2 linked regions of the Callithrix jacchus genome follow. The protein of the gene in region 1 interacts with the protein of each later gene in a biochemical or structural test. Links are inferred from orthologs where the notes say so. Each region holds a gene or a part of one and is shown in the gene's direction. Other genes may lie near its edges.

Region 1 (7,272 bases):
AAAGTAATAAGGTTTATAGGAAGCAGAGTCCACAGCCATAGCTTTTTCAAGTATTAGATAAATAATAGCTCTTTCAGTTCAATTATTTATGAATGGTAGTTTTTCTGACCTAAGATGCTCATCTGCAATATTCATATAGATTCTCATATTCTTTTAAGAATCTTTCACACAGTGTTTCTGTCATGCATTAGATATATGAAAGATTCTGTGTTGAAGAGTAATTCAAGTTCATATGCTCTTTCCTGGAATGATGTCACAAAATGAATCTCATTTGGCATAAACAGCTAAGTCCTTATACATAGAAAAGAAATGGCAGACTGCCGGATGCTGAGTACTTATCTTCTGACATTGGTAGCTTTTTATAAAAAATCAGTAGTGTTAGATTCCAGAAACCATCCTTTGAGAAATGAACCAGCCTCAGCTTCCTTATAAGTAAAATGGGGAGTATTATAGTATTACCATATAGGGTTGCTATGTTCCTAGCACATAATGGGCACTTACATGAATGTTAACTGTTACCCTTTTCCTTACCTTAAAGGATAGACATGGTTTGTGTGCATGATAGTAAAATTCAGGCAAATGGCTCCTGGCAGTAGGAGTGGGCAGAGGAAGAACTTCCTTCTTGCTTATTTTTTATAAGATAGATTGTACCTTGCTCATTTTTTTACTTTTCTATATTTATTTTTTTAATTTTTAATTTTTTTATCTTAAATTTTTTCTTTGAATTAAATATAGACAGAGTCTTGCTGTGTTGACCAGGCTGGTCTCAAACTCCTGGCCTCAAGTGATCCTCCTGCCTTGGTCTCCCAAAGTGCTGGGATCATAGATGTGAGTCACCTTGCCCAGCTTATTTTTTAAATTTTTTTTATTTTTGAGATGGGGTTGCTGTGTTGCCCAGGATGATCTTGAACTCCTAAGGTCAACGATTCTTCTGCCTCAGCCTCCCAAGTAGCTGGCATTATAGGTGTATGCCACCATGCCTGGAGCTTTTCCATATTTTAAATGACTTCTTTTGCTTTTTATCATGAGGTTAGTCTGAAAGCATTCTGGGGCTGTAAGTCAGCCTGGAAAATCTACCCTGTTGGTTTAATATACAAGGCTTGAAGTTTCATTGGGCAGATAGAAGATAAGAAAGATGCATAAAATACTAATTTTTTCTTTAGTTCATAATACCCCCCATTTGCCTGTCATATAAGTCAGCTCTGCTCTATAAATCCACCTTTGGATTTGAAAGAGTAGGAAAATAGAAAGGAAACACAATGAGGTTGGGGCAAGTGGATATGGGAGGTTGGTCCAGACGTTCCCTGAAACTCCTCAGAAGTGGTGGCATGCAATTGAAGCAGACAAATGAGGAACCACAGTCCTTGTTCCCTCTTATTTCAGATACTTAGATCTTAGATTGTCTTTTTTTTTTTTTTTTTTTTTTTTAGCGTAGCTATTTGCATTAGGATTTTGACATACTGGAGTAACAACTACTTTTTCAATTTTCATTTCTATTTTAAAATATGCAAGTTATATGAAGGTAGCTGTTCACATTATTTTTAAATGCATACAACATGAATAAAGTACATGAAGTAAAGATTCACTGAAAAAATTTTTACAAATTTTTCTTCTTTGTAGACAGACTATAGCTCTAAGCCAAAGTAAAAGAGTGTCTGAGCACAGTATCCAAATGGTATATGGACTGTTAAGTGTAATTTGATTGTTCTGTAGAGAACTCTCAAGTTTAAAGGTTGTTAATAGCTACTTTGGAGGGTCACTTTTTTAAGTAAATAGAAACTCAAATAGAATTTAAAACTTCAAAAGCTAAAGTAATTTCATATTTTACCCATCTTAGGGTAATTTTATAACTTTAAAAATTAAAGATCATTTGCTATCAACCAAAATAGAATAAAATATAATTTCATATGTTCATTTCTTTTGTTTTTCTAATAAATTTAGTATCTGTATTCACTAAAATCATTTTCACATGTGTAATTATATGAACTAGATTATTGTCTAATATGATGTTCTTTTTTAAATCTAGTTTTATTGTCCATATGTTCTCTACTTTGTGATCCTAATCCAGATGACCCCTTAGTACCAGATATTGCACAAATCTATAAATCAGACAAAGAAAAGTAAGTGTTAACTTATCTTAGTTTCTGTATGGATACATTCCTATATAGTATGCTAAAACATGAATATTGTCAATGTATTTTAAGTACAGCTTGTTGTGCATATATTGTTTTATCTTTTTCCAGTGGAGTAAACCCTTCTTTTAGAACTCAGTTTGTCCTTTTACAATAAATCCTGTTTCTTCCCACTTCCTGTTCAATAGTATATAGTCTGTATTTGAAAAATAAATATATATATATATATTCTAGGTGGTAAATTAAAAATGAAATAATTTAATCATTGGAAAGTATTAAATACTGTATTGCCTATCTTCTCCCAGGAAGATGAGTTCTCTCTATGCCCATCCTAATTCTATGCCCACTGACCTAATTCTCAAGCTGCTTCAGCTTGCCTGTACTGTAGGTTTATTTGCAATTTGTAGATAATGCTTCTTCAGGGTTGGCTTTGTACATTTCTATTAAAAGTTGGTTTCTGCATTTTCTTTTTCATATACTTGGATACATTTTCATACAGATTGCAGAGAAATCCATTAGTTGAAAAATTGTCCTTCCCGTTTTATTTCTGCATGAACCTAAGTCCCATTGACCCAATAATTGATGTATGTGTGATTATTGCAATTAAGTATAAAAGGAATATATAGTTTTATATAGACAGATGCTTCTAAAATATTAATTTTGTATGTTTTTATTATATTCTTTTTGTATATCTACAGATACAACAGACATGCAAGAGAATGGACTCAGAAATATGCAATGTAAAATCAAAAACATTTTCATATATACCAGAGTACTGTAAAATCTAGATTTTTTTCAACATTAGCAGTAAATTGAGCACTGTTTACTGTTTCATTGTACCATGAAACCATTTGATTTTTACCCATTTTAAATGTGTTTCTGAAGCAAGACAAAACAAACTTCCAAAAATACCCATAAGACTGTGATGAGAGCATTTATCATTTTGTATGCATTGAGAAAGACATTTATTATGGTTTTAAATACTTGGACATCTGCATCTTCAGCTTACAAGATCTACAGTGCAGCTGAAAAGCAACCAAATTATTTTTTGCTGAAACTAGATGTTTTTACATGAGAAATACTGTATGTGTTGTCTAAGATGTCAGTTTTATAAATCTGTATTCAGATTTCATTCTTTGTTAGCTCACTTTATAATTTGTATTTTTTTACTGTATAGACTAAATATATTCTATTTACATGTATGTCAACTCATTACTTTTTCCCTGTGAACAGTATTGAAAAACCCCAGCAGCTGATAATTAAGTGAATTAACTGTGTCTCCCTTGTCTTAGGATATTCTGTAGATTGATTGGAGATTTCTTAAATCTGAAATGATCTTTACACTGTAATAATCAGCATACTGATTATGGAGAAACACTTGTTTTGATTTTATTATACTTGACTTAACTTTATTGCAATGTGAATTAATTGCACTGCTAAGTAGGAAGATGTGTAACTTTTATTTGTTGCTATTCACATTTGAATTTTTTCCTGTATAGGCAATATTATATTGACACCTTTTACAGATATTACTGTAGCTTTTTCCATATAAATAAAATGCTTTTTCTACTATTTGTCTTGATTACTTAAAAATATAAAAATATAATTAAGGATCAAAACTCTAAAATTTTGCATGAAAATTACTTCCAAATTATGAAAATCAGATCTATTATGTTTGGCATTAGTCACCATTAGTTATATAAATTTTATTGTTTTAGGTTAGTATCTCTTTACTAAATTGTCAGTCTATAAGATGATATATGTTGATCCCTTGCTGTGGAAGAGAATTTAGAATAATTTGGGGTTTGTCTGGGATTATATCTAAATGGATTATTTGTTAAAAGTACTGAAATGAATATGAGGCAGTATCACTCATCCTGAAGAATGGTCTTTATAGACCTGTACAAATCACTAGATTAATTCATTAAAATACCCCACCCCATGTAATTGACATATTTCTTAAAATTTTAAAACGTAGAATTTCTAAAATGGAATTTTAATGTCATCACAATTTGAAAAGCATTTGTTTTTTACTATAGAAGTTACAAAGAAAGTTCTAAAATTATGCCTCCCTCTGTTTTTATAAGTGGCCATCCAAAAGTGATTTAAATAAGCAGGTTATCTTTATAGATTTTAAAGGAAACTAGAAAGTTTTTATGTTTTAATGTGGGGGAAAATACATCTCTTTAATGTTTAGCATGCTTATCAACCTTGAGCGAGTGTCATTTTTAAGAACAGTTGTAGCACTTCTTATTATTGCAGTAGCTGTAGAAGTGTGTAAGAGTCTATGATGGGTGTAGTCATTAGCAAAATGTTTAAATCACTTGAGTATTTTGTTATGGTTCATTATTATTAAAGCACAAAATAACCTATTGTTAGAAAATATGTGTTTTTATAAATGAATGTAAAATAAATGAATTGTGAAATGAATGTTTAAGAAAATATAGGCTTAAAAAGTAACTCTATAAAGTGATGTCTTAAAACAGCCATATCATGAAAAATTCTACCTAGCTATATTATTATAAGCTACATTTGCCCTGAATTTGAACACTCAACATCATTAAAGTATTTAGTATATTTTGATAGTAAAGGGTTTTGTTTCTTGAGTATCTTCCCTTAAAGAAAGGAAACAACTTTCATTTGTGTGGCATTTATTTTTGGAAGTGTCTTTTTTTCTTTATTAAAGTTTTTGAAACTTGCCTAACTCGTTTGCCTTTGCTTACATCTGGATTGTACTAGACTCAAGGAGTAAGCAGAAGTTCTAATAATTAACTAAAAACGTTGAGTTCCATAGTGGCATCATGATCAGTCAGATCACCATTTTGGGCATATTATCGTTGCTTAATTCTAACAGGGAGAACATCAGTTACTTTTTAAAACCATAGATTAAAAGCCAGGGCCTTTTCGTAGATTAAGCATTAACTTAAGGACTTCCTTGGAGTGAAAGAAATTGATAGTCTTTTGGGGATTTAGGATCCCACCTCTTGAAGTTGCATAGTTGAAAACCATGTTCAAATTGGATTTTGAACACTTGTAACTGCCATATACAGCAGTTATCCACATCAGTGATACGGGTTGTAAGGGCAGCCTCACCACTATCCTCCAACTATCTCAAAAGCATGATTCCTGAAGTACAAGCTTTACATATATGCCTCTGCCAACCACATTTAATTATTCATTTTTGCATTATCTCCCGGTTTTACCCCTCTAAACTCTGATAGGAAAAATTAAAAATTACTTTATAAATGAACTGTATATCAAGGGCAACTCTTAAGAGTTAATGTTCAAAAGTTACTTTATTAAATGATAAAAATACATTGCAGGTTTATGTTATTTATCACAGTGATCTATCTTTGATGATTTAGTTATTGACATTTGTCAGGATCCTGCTTTCCCAGTTCTGTATTTTTTAAATGGAGAGATTAAGGAAATTAATTTCCCTCCCAAATTAAAAGAGGTTCTTGATTATGAAACTATATCATGCCTGTTTATTGGTAGTTAGTTTGAACTGCACAAAAGCCCAGTCCAGTTGCTTATGCTTTAGAATTTGAGTTCTGCAGTAGAATCATCAGTCCTGTTACTCTTACCTTCTTAGGACTAGCTATGAAAATGTGATCAATGCTTTAGCCATGGCCATAAAAACAAACCTTCATTGTATTCAGATTGTTGAAATACTGTTTATCTTTGTTTCAATCTTTTAAGTGATTGTTAATACAATAAAACAATAAATCTGATTTTTTAAAAATTAATTTTATCACTTCGACTTTCACAATTTTTTTCTTTTCTTTTTTTTTTTTTTTTTTTTTGAGATGGAGTTATGCTCTTGTTACCCAGGCTGGAGTGCAATGGCGTGACCTCGGCTCACCGCAACCTCCACCTCCTAGGTTCAGGCAATTCTCCTGCCTCAGCCTCCTGAGGAGCTGGGATTACAGGCATGCACCACCATGCCCAGCTAATTTTTTGTATTTTTTAGTAGAGACGGGGTTTCACCATGTTGACCAGGATGGTCTCGATCTCTTGACCTCGTGATCCACCCCTCTCAGCCTCCCAAAGTGCTGGGATTACAGGCTTGAGCCACCGCACCTGGCCAATTTTTTTCTTTCAAGTAGAGGCTTAATCAATTTAATAGCTGTAAAATATGGTGCAGATTATTTATGAAAGGTCTTATATCTCATAATGGTTCTCTTTTATCATTCTGATGGTTGCATTGCACAAATAGGGCAGCAGGTAGAGACTCATCTAATTTCACTTATAAAGTTCCTATGTGTAAATAACTAGTCATTTCTACTCTTTTTTCTGTCTCTCTTTTTGAACTGAGTAATGTGTCTGTAAGCTCTTCTTAAACTGTGTGATTAATATGTTTTCCTTAGGAGTTTTTGTCAGTAGTAGTGATAAAATTTGTAGACAGCTGATAGTGTCCTGGTAACAGCCTAATAGATGTTATATCACTTATTTGTATTTTGTGACATCTACATTTCTGCTCCCATTATTCTGTTATATATGTATGTATATATATATGGTTTTAAATTATAAATGAACTGAACTAATAGGAAGAGAGAAAATTCACCTAAAAGTATTAGTATTGGGAGGCATTTTGTATACCAAGAGACATTTCTTTAAAAACTTGGTAAGCACCCTCCTAGGTCCTACTGTCATCAAGGAAGAGACGTTCCTTTCTTCTCTCATGAAGAGGTTGCTTTTATTAAACTGGCACATGCTGAAGGTCTGAACTACACTTTCCTCATATAATTTACTTAGGAAAAACTGTTAAGATCTCTTGAGTGCATAAGATCACTATGAATTGTATATGAAATATTACGGTAAACTCTTAATACATGTTGTGGGAACAGTTGTAACCACTTGTGTTAGCACTGTTGGTACACTTGTTTTGGCAGTCTCATGGTCCACACTTTCAGCGTGTCCATAGAAGAATGCACGTGACTCAGCATATTGCCATCCTCGCAGTTAAGATTTATTACAGCCACCTGGCAAGGATACACAGTGCGGGCAGTAAGGGGGAAAGACTGACTAGGCAGTCTGCAGGAATCACGTGCAGGCTCCCTGTGCTTTTCCCAAAGGGGCCACAAGAGTAAAGCCTTCCTTTAGTAGTAGCATGGGTATAGTGTTTCTGCCCAAGGAA
Region 2 (8,041 bases), on another chromosome or scaffold:
AACAATTTCAGCTAACTTCTCTGGAGAATTTCCCTTGGCTAAAACAAAAGCCACCTCATGCATGAGGTTCTGCTGCAATCCTGCCCCTGAAGAGATCATTCAATGATGGACAGGCATCTGTGTCCAAAGAGCTGGCCTTGTTGGACAGCACTGGGTGGTGAATTTCATGGGATCAGTGGAGGCTCATTCTTTGTTCCTTGTCCTCTTGGCCAATCCTGCTTCCTCCATCCTCTTCTCTAGAGTGCACGGTCCTAATAAAACACTTCAATAAGAATCCTTTTCTCAGGCTCCGCTTCTAGATAACCTGATCCAAGACTATCGCTGGCCTAATTAAGACCCTGGTTATCAGGAGTGTCCTTGAGGGTTGTTTTTATATGCAGAAAAGGACTATTCCAAAGTTTCTCTTGAGGAATGAAATACTGAGACATGCTACAACATGAGGACCGTTGAAAACATTATGCCAAGTGAAAGAAGCTAAACACAAAAGACCACATCACGTAGAATACCATTTGTTTGAAATGCTCAGAATAGGCAAATTCATAGAGACAGAAAGGACATTAGCGATTGCCAGGGCTGGGAATAGGGTGGAGTAGGAATGGGGGTGATGGTTAATAAGTGTAGAGTTTCCTTTGGGGTGATGAACATGTTTTAAAATTAGATTGTGGTGAATGCTGTGCAACTCTGAATATACTAAAAACCACTGGATTATACACTTTAAATGGGCAAATTTTATGGTATGTGAATTATATCTCAATAAAACTATTAAAAGAGCTATGAGGAAATAAAGAAAATATTCTTTTAAAAAATCTTTGCCTTAAACAGTTAATATTCAACTTGTTAGTTTAAAATTCAATGTCCTAGTTATACCTTAGGCTTTTACATTTGGTTTACGGCTCTTACTATTCTTGTGGTAACTATAGTAAATCTTAACAGTCATTTGGAATTTGCCTTTCATTAACTTTCAGTCTCATTCACATACGCAATTATCTTCAAACCAACATTTTAAACTGTATTTACAAATTTAATATTTTATCTCATTCATAAGTACTTCAAATGTCTAATTTAATTCCTTCTTGAATCCTTACATAATAATTTTTAAACTAATAATAAAACAATAAGGCAAGCCTAAATTTCTCTTTGCTGTTCTCATGCCATCCATAAACTTAGTAAGATTTCATCTTAAAACTAGAAATCGAGTGCTCCATTTTGTGTTTTAAATTTTAATTAAGACTGTCTTTTTGCGAAGCCAAAAATCTCTTAAACATGACAAGTACATAATTTACCAGATATACAGAGAATCCTTTTAATGGTATGGGTTTAATTATTTTACACCTTTTTATTCCTAAGTGTAAAAAGTCCAGAAACTAAACAAGGCATATGCACTAAAAAGGCCAGGTACCAATCAGATAAACAGAAATAATTAGACCAGAGAACTTGGCAGGTTCTGAGACCTGGAGTAGATATAAAGGATGATTCATCTGTCTATTCCAGCTATCGTGTCTAAGCCCCTCTTTGTAGTCATTTTGTCTTGGACTACAGAAACTGAAGCAAAGTGTTGGATTCAAGTTACATACATTACCTGTATCTCTACCCACAAAAACCTGTAGCTTCCTGTCTGGTAAATCACTTGATTGGATTTTTATTTACAAATTTTTATAATAAAATTTTTGACTCTTAGACTATATAATAGGAAATAGGAAAAATAGGAAGAGACACATATGTTTTTCCACTTAACATGTAAAAAGTATTTGCACTTGAATTATTGCATTTGATTGCACTCTCCAAAATTCACAGATATTAAAAATTATTTCTACCTGTTATTTTCTATGATGTGTGTTCACAATATCTGAAGTCCTTGTACTAAGTGCATTAATCCTGTTTGCCAAAAAGATTGCACCTTTCTCTGCTCATCCATGCAGTAGGCTGAGGAGAAGGTTCTGCCAGGTGCTATGCTAAGTTCTAGGACTACAAAAATGAATAAGAGCATTTGTTCACACTTACGGAGTTCAGACTCTAGGTAGGAAAGACCTAAAAACAGAAAATCATTTTAAGTACTTGCTCAGTGGCTTTTTCATAGGAAAAGAGTACAAGGACTTCATTCAATAACGACTTGACTGTTTGATTCGCTGCTGTTATTACCAGCACCTAATACGTAGTCACACTCAGTATTTGTTAAATACATGGCTACATGCTAAAATAGTTATATAGAGGGAGTATGGGAGCCTCCAAAAGGGACATTTGCCTAGTTTTATGTGAAGATACTGGACTGGAGGGTGAGGTAAGGGTGTTACTTCAGAATTATCAGGAACAATTCCTTAAAGATGAGAACTGAGCTGAGTTTTGGGGGGCAGAGGAAATTAAAAGTGGAGTTGGAGGTTGCTTAGGAGTTCCCATATCTTGTAGAGGAACTTCAAGCAGTTTCGGAGTGCCAAGACATCAGTCTGTAAATGTAAGCAGCAGAGAGATCTGGAAGGGCTTTCTAGGCTGTTTTATATGTTTCCATTTTAGTCTCCATATCAATATGCTTATCTTTAAAACTTGTCCATGGATCTCTACTACACTGGCAGTTCACTGATGCTAAGGACTGCATCTTGTCTGTTATCCGGGTTCCCAGCACAATAATGGGGATATGGTAGTTCCTCAAAAGTTAACGCAGATATGAATGAAAGAACAAACGAAAGAATGACAAGTAATGGCATTGTGAGCACTCTCCAGTGATGAAGTCATCCGGATGGTGGGGATGTCAGGAACGGAGTTTATACCAGCTTAGGCAGAGACATACTCGGCAGCTTAACTAATGGTGAGTTGAGTTTAGTGAGCCTCACATCTGAGAAATAAAATCAGAGAGAGGAATGTTGGGAGTTTCAAACTGCTTTCCTAGTGGGAAAGTAAAAAAACACAAATATAGAGGGGTGCGGTGCCTCAAGCCTGTAATCCCATTTTGCTGAGGCGGGACGATTGCTCGAGGCCGATTATGAAACCAGCCTGGGCAACATAGCGAGACCCCGCTATGTTTGTAGAGACCTCATCTCTCAAACGAAAAAATTTGAAATTAGTGGGAAGCGCCTGTAGTCCCAGCTACTGGGATGAGGAGGGAGGATCGCTGGAGGCTGCCATGAGCTACGATCGCTCCACTGCACTCCAGCCTGGGCGACAGAGCGAGACCTTGTCTCAAATAGAGAAAGACAGATAAGATAAACAGACTTCAGAATTTATGAGAGTTTGTAATTTCTAGGTTCCAACGAGCAGCAAGGGAGAGGGCCTGGCTGGTTAGTACGTTACGCCCGGAAGTAAAGAGACGAACAGACAGTCGGTTGCACGTTGTAGTCAGGCCGGCAAACTAGGAACACGGACGCGCAGTTAAGTGCTGGGACTTCCCAAGCCTGGAAAGCAGGCTGTATCTCTGCGACTACGGGGCTGCCAAGAGCGCTGAGCGGCCGGGTATTTGGCCTCCAGGAGGAGGCACTGTAACGGCAGCGCGAAGAGGGCGGAACGCGGAACGCAACCACCCTAGCTTTCGACGGACGCAGTTTCCGGTAGCACTGGCGAGCTCCGGGCCGGCTGCGGAGCGACTACCCTCTGTCAGAGGGCGACCTGGCTGTCGGGAAAGACGTGCTGGAGCCTGCAGTTCCTCCTCCGGAGCATCCCCCTACAGCGGGACGACCCCACGCGGCAGCACGGCCTTCCGGCTTCTCTCCTCAGTGGAGATAATTCGAGGGCACAGCGGCCTCTGGAGGCGCGGTAAGCCTATCTCGCCTCCCAGCCACAGCCACCTGCACCCTAGAGGACAGCCGCCTGCGGCAGACTTTTTTCCCGGCAGGAGGCGGACGGCCCCTGTCCTGGAGAGGTGGGCTCGGGGGAAAGCTCTGGGTCCTACCACTACTTCCTGGAGACGCCGGGGAAAGCAGGCCATCCTTCGGGTCACCCACTTCTCCGATTGGTTAACTGCCCTCTTAATACGCCCCCCCGGCTGGTGATTGGTTGGGATACACCATCTGTCACCTGCTTCCCTGTGGGAATCTAGGTCGCTAAGCGCAGCGTTTACTTGAGGCTCGGTTGTGAAGAGGTTAGTTGGGTCCCTGGAGCCCACTTTGTTTATCGTAGTGAGGATCGTCCCCCGGCGCGAGCTTCCGTCGCAACGGCCAGGAAAGAAACCAGTAGCGGGACAGAGGGCGGGGGTGGCGAGAAAGTCAAGGTTTAGAAGTAAACTGGAGACGCCTAACCGTGGTAACATCCGAATGGGAACCGGATAGGACGGAAGGCCTTTGAGAGAGGAGGGTAAACCCAGGAGCAGTGACAGTGTAGGAAGAAAGGCCTAAGTTTGTTGTGGGAGGAAGGGCCTTGCGGGAGGTTTTCGTGACCTAATTGTATGGAGATCTACTTTTCTAGGCGTGTCTAACAAAATCCACTGGAGAATTTGCTTTGGCTTTGCAGCAGAGTAGCCCTCAAAGAGAGTTTATTGAACTCTCTTTTATTGCTTTCAGATGGGCAGCTCTCAAAAAAGGCACAAACAATTGAAGGATGGATACCATGGCATATGTTAAAAGCATGTTGAAAGGAAAATAAGGTATTCACTTTGTTTTCATTGTGATTGATTGTATAAGAAAATTACCTTTGAGGAGAAGCTCTTAAATTTTAATATTAAGGTACCTTGATTTTATGATAGGTTTCAACTTGTAAAATTATTTTTTACAAAAATCATATTATTGCTGTACCTACCAAATACGCTTTTTGCTAATTATAGTCCTAATCTGAAGATAGAAATCTTGAGTTTTTAGTAGTGTTAATTCATATTTGAGTGGATAATGCTACTAGGTCCTTTGATCAAAACGGCATAATAAAATAACCACAGTGAAAAAAAAAATCCTTGAATTTGTAATTTAGTGTTACAGGTGAAATTGAATAGTTACTTGCTCCTACAGTATTTTAGAATTCTAGGCTAACTTTACCTTATATTTAAAGCAGCTTGTTTATTAAACAGCTGGTACATTTTGAGAGGCAGAGTTGTACAGTTGCTTCACTGGTAGCCTAACTATTTGAGCCTCCAGCCTCTCCTCTCCTGAGTCAGTTGCTGGATTACTCATACCCCTTAGTGACATGCCAGAAATTGTCGAGGAATAGTTTATTTCATCTGCAGCTGCAGAACACCCAAATTAGCTCTTAGCAGACCTGGCTCTTACGTGGAAAACTCTGAGGATTGGTGGGTGATGAGATCTGGGCATCTGTGTTTTTAAAAATATCCTTAAGTGAGTTTGAGAACCATTGCTTTAGTGTGGTTTACTAAATAGATGTATTTATGAAATTCTAGAATATTATGAAACAAACATCTTTCTCCTGTGATTTCCTTGTAGTTTAAAAGTGAGTTTCTCAGGAATGACATTTAAATATAATCAGAAAATAATGTTTTCTTAGGCAAAGTCAAGAAGTTCCACTGGCACTCCGAAACCCCTGGGACTAACATTCCAGGCTTAAGGATGAGGCTTGATATGGGGAGACACAAAGTGCTCTGATGTACTTCCACAGTCCTTGAGCCATACATGATGTCTGGTTTCCTGTTGGGTTTCAAAGTCTTCCTCGTAGGCTTTAAGGAGAGATCACCTCCCAGTCTATTTGGTAGATATTAATTAGGCTAAATGATTTTCACCTCAACAAAGTGCAGTGAGGGATAATATTACCTTCATGAGCCTTATTTTGGAAAGAATACCTTGCTGAGAATAAATGTAAATCATATCATCCCAATAGCCTTTTGCTTATTAAGTGAAGAATGTGAATAATTCAAGCCTAAAATTTAAATTTAGTACCCAGATATTGAAACATAAATGAGGACTTTTAGATCAACTTTTCCAAATCGTCAACAGGTAAAAAATGAGATAATCACTATGGTATTCAGGCATGAGTGATGTGTGGTAAACCCAAATCCAGTCTGACTTAATGGCTTTAGGCAAAGAAGTAGCTCCAATTGTGTTGTATTTCCTAGAAGTTGTTTTGCATTTTGTATGTAAGTTTCTCACTGCAAGATTTGGCAAATACAGTATTTGGGTAGGGGACAGCATTCAAAAATTAAGAAAAACTAAGTTAAAAACACAAAGTCGTATGTGGTTCATAACACCTTGAATTTTGTTTATATTGTTTGAACAGAAAGGCAGGAATCTCAGAATGAGTCAGTCTCGATCTAGATCAGATGGTGGTAGTGAAGAAACCTTATCTCAAGACCATAATCATCGTGAAAATGAGAGAAGATGGCAGCAAGAGCGTCTCCACAGAGAAGAGGCCTATTATCAGTTTATTAATGAACTCAGTGATGAAGATTATCGACTTATGAGAGACCATAATCTTTTAGGCACCCCTGGTAAGAGAAGGGTAAAAGAGGAGACAATTTTTTTCATCATTAGATGGAGGGATTTCAAAATAAGGAGAATTGGTAGTTTTCCCTGCTTTTCTTTATGAAAATATGGTGTATTGTTTTGGTGAGTTTAAGATCGTCTTAGTAGAAACAAAGTAGAAAATCACTGGCTTGCTTCTGTATTTTATAAGGTGAAAATATGGACCATGGAGCACTATTACACAAATGCCAAACTACTAAGGAGGTTAATGTACATAATAGTGTTAAATATTTACATATATGGTCCTATTTGCAATTTTTATGCAAATAAAATATGACTTAAAATCCAATTTGAACTCATTTGGGGTATTATAATTTATTCAGCTGAATTAATAACTCCCCCCAAAGCCCAGTGTGTTCCATAAAACTTTTACAAATGAACTAATGGAAATTTGTATATTTATATATTGTGTGTTTGTATATTGAAGACCCATATAATGAAGTATTTGGGGTAAAATTCAAGTATGGATTTGAAGTTTTCTGTATAAATGCTCCCTTAATTTCTTTTTAACTGACAAAAATCCACAGTTATAGCTTATTGGTTCCTAAGTGTATCAGTTGGCAGCACTTCACCAGCTATTCAAATTAATCTTATTTTAATAATTTTTAATAAAAGATTAAGTGAAGCACAACCAAATTGATGCATGTTTGCACCAGTTAAATATTTTTAACTGTCTTCAATCTGCAGAACATATGAAAGTAATAAGACATTTGTCTTCTGCAAGTTACTAAAGATTAGTCTTACCCTACATAAGGTCTCAGAAAACTTAATTCAGAATTGAATTAAACAATTTTTAATTTAAATGGCAATTTTTTATTGTTTTAGGAGAAATAACATCAGAAGAACTGCAACAGCGGTTAGATGGGGTCAAGGAACAACTAGCTTCTCAGCCTGACATGAGAAATGGAAGAAATTACAGAGGTACTATGGAGTCCTTTCCATAAGCAACAGGCCTGATCGGAGCACTTGCAGAAATGAAATTCTTAGAACTAGTATAGTATGTTTGTCTTCAATTTTTTCCAGTTTTAATGTGTTACTCATTCAGATAATACGTATATGAATAGTAAAGCAGTATAGGACAGAGGAGTAAATGCAAAGATGTCTTAAACATGCAGATTGCCTTCAGAGAGCTTTATGAAATAATATGCAATTAATTCCCAGCATAGGTCTTTTTAATCTTGGAATGTATACACTACTTTTTATAAAGTGGTATTACTCAGTTTCTAAAGATTTATATACAGAACCATGTAGAGAGACCGTTAGGAAACCTGGTTTTGTTTCTTTCTTCTGTTTGACGGTTTACATATAAAAAGTTCTTGAAAGTACTGTAAAAGAAATTTCAAACTAAATAGAAGTATCTAGAGTTAAAAGTAAGAGCCACTTTTGTGTCCTTCTTAACCAGTTCTACTTCCCTCCTCAGAGGTAGTTATTAGTAGTTGCACATATTATATCAAAATCATTGCATTAGTTACAGTAAAGTCTGTATAGAAACTCCAAAATGCAATGGCTCAATAAGATAGCACCTGAATGTGGCTACTATGAAATCCTCATGGAATCTACTCAGCTAACAGAATGGTTCTACAACTGTGCTGTTCAGTACAGTAGCTGCTAGCCACATGTGACTATTTAAGTAGAAATTAATTAAAATTAAATAAAAT

The links.
Region 2: the proteins of UBE2D1 (region 1) and RNF6 form a complex in vitro, tested with the Homo sapiens proteins (2 studies listed by BioGRID). The link is inferred for Callithrix jacchus from reciprocal best matches to the Homo sapiens genes UBE2D1 and RNF6.

Annotation. Positions count from the first base shown.
Region 1 is NC_133513.1:72,134,323-72,141,594, reverse strand, and holds the end of UBE2D1 (ubiquitin-conjugating enzyme E2 D1), read left to right. Parts: intron 1-2,026; coding exon 2,027-2,120; intron 2,121-2,830; coding exon 2,831-2,876; 3' UTR 2,877-4,831; downstream 4,832-7,272.
Region 2 is NC_133506.1:145,385,497-145,393,537, reverse strand, and holds the start of RNF6 (E3 ubiquitin-protein ligase RNF6), read left to right. Parts: upstream 1-3,526; 5' UTR 3,527-3,847; exon of another isoform or gene 3,848-4,301; intron 4,302-4,389; exon of another isoform or gene 4,390-4,484; 5' UTR 4,485-4,567; intron 4,568-6,138; exon of another isoform or gene 6,139-6,142; 5' UTR 6,143-6,156; coding exon 6,157-6,349; intron 6,350-7,208; coding exon 7,209-7,304; intron 7,305-8,041. UniProt on the Homo sapiens protein: E3 ubiquitin-protein ligase mediating 'Lys-48'-linked polyubiquitination of LIMK1 and its subsequent targeting to the proteasome for degradation. Negatively regulates axonal outgrowth through regulation of the LIMK1 turnover.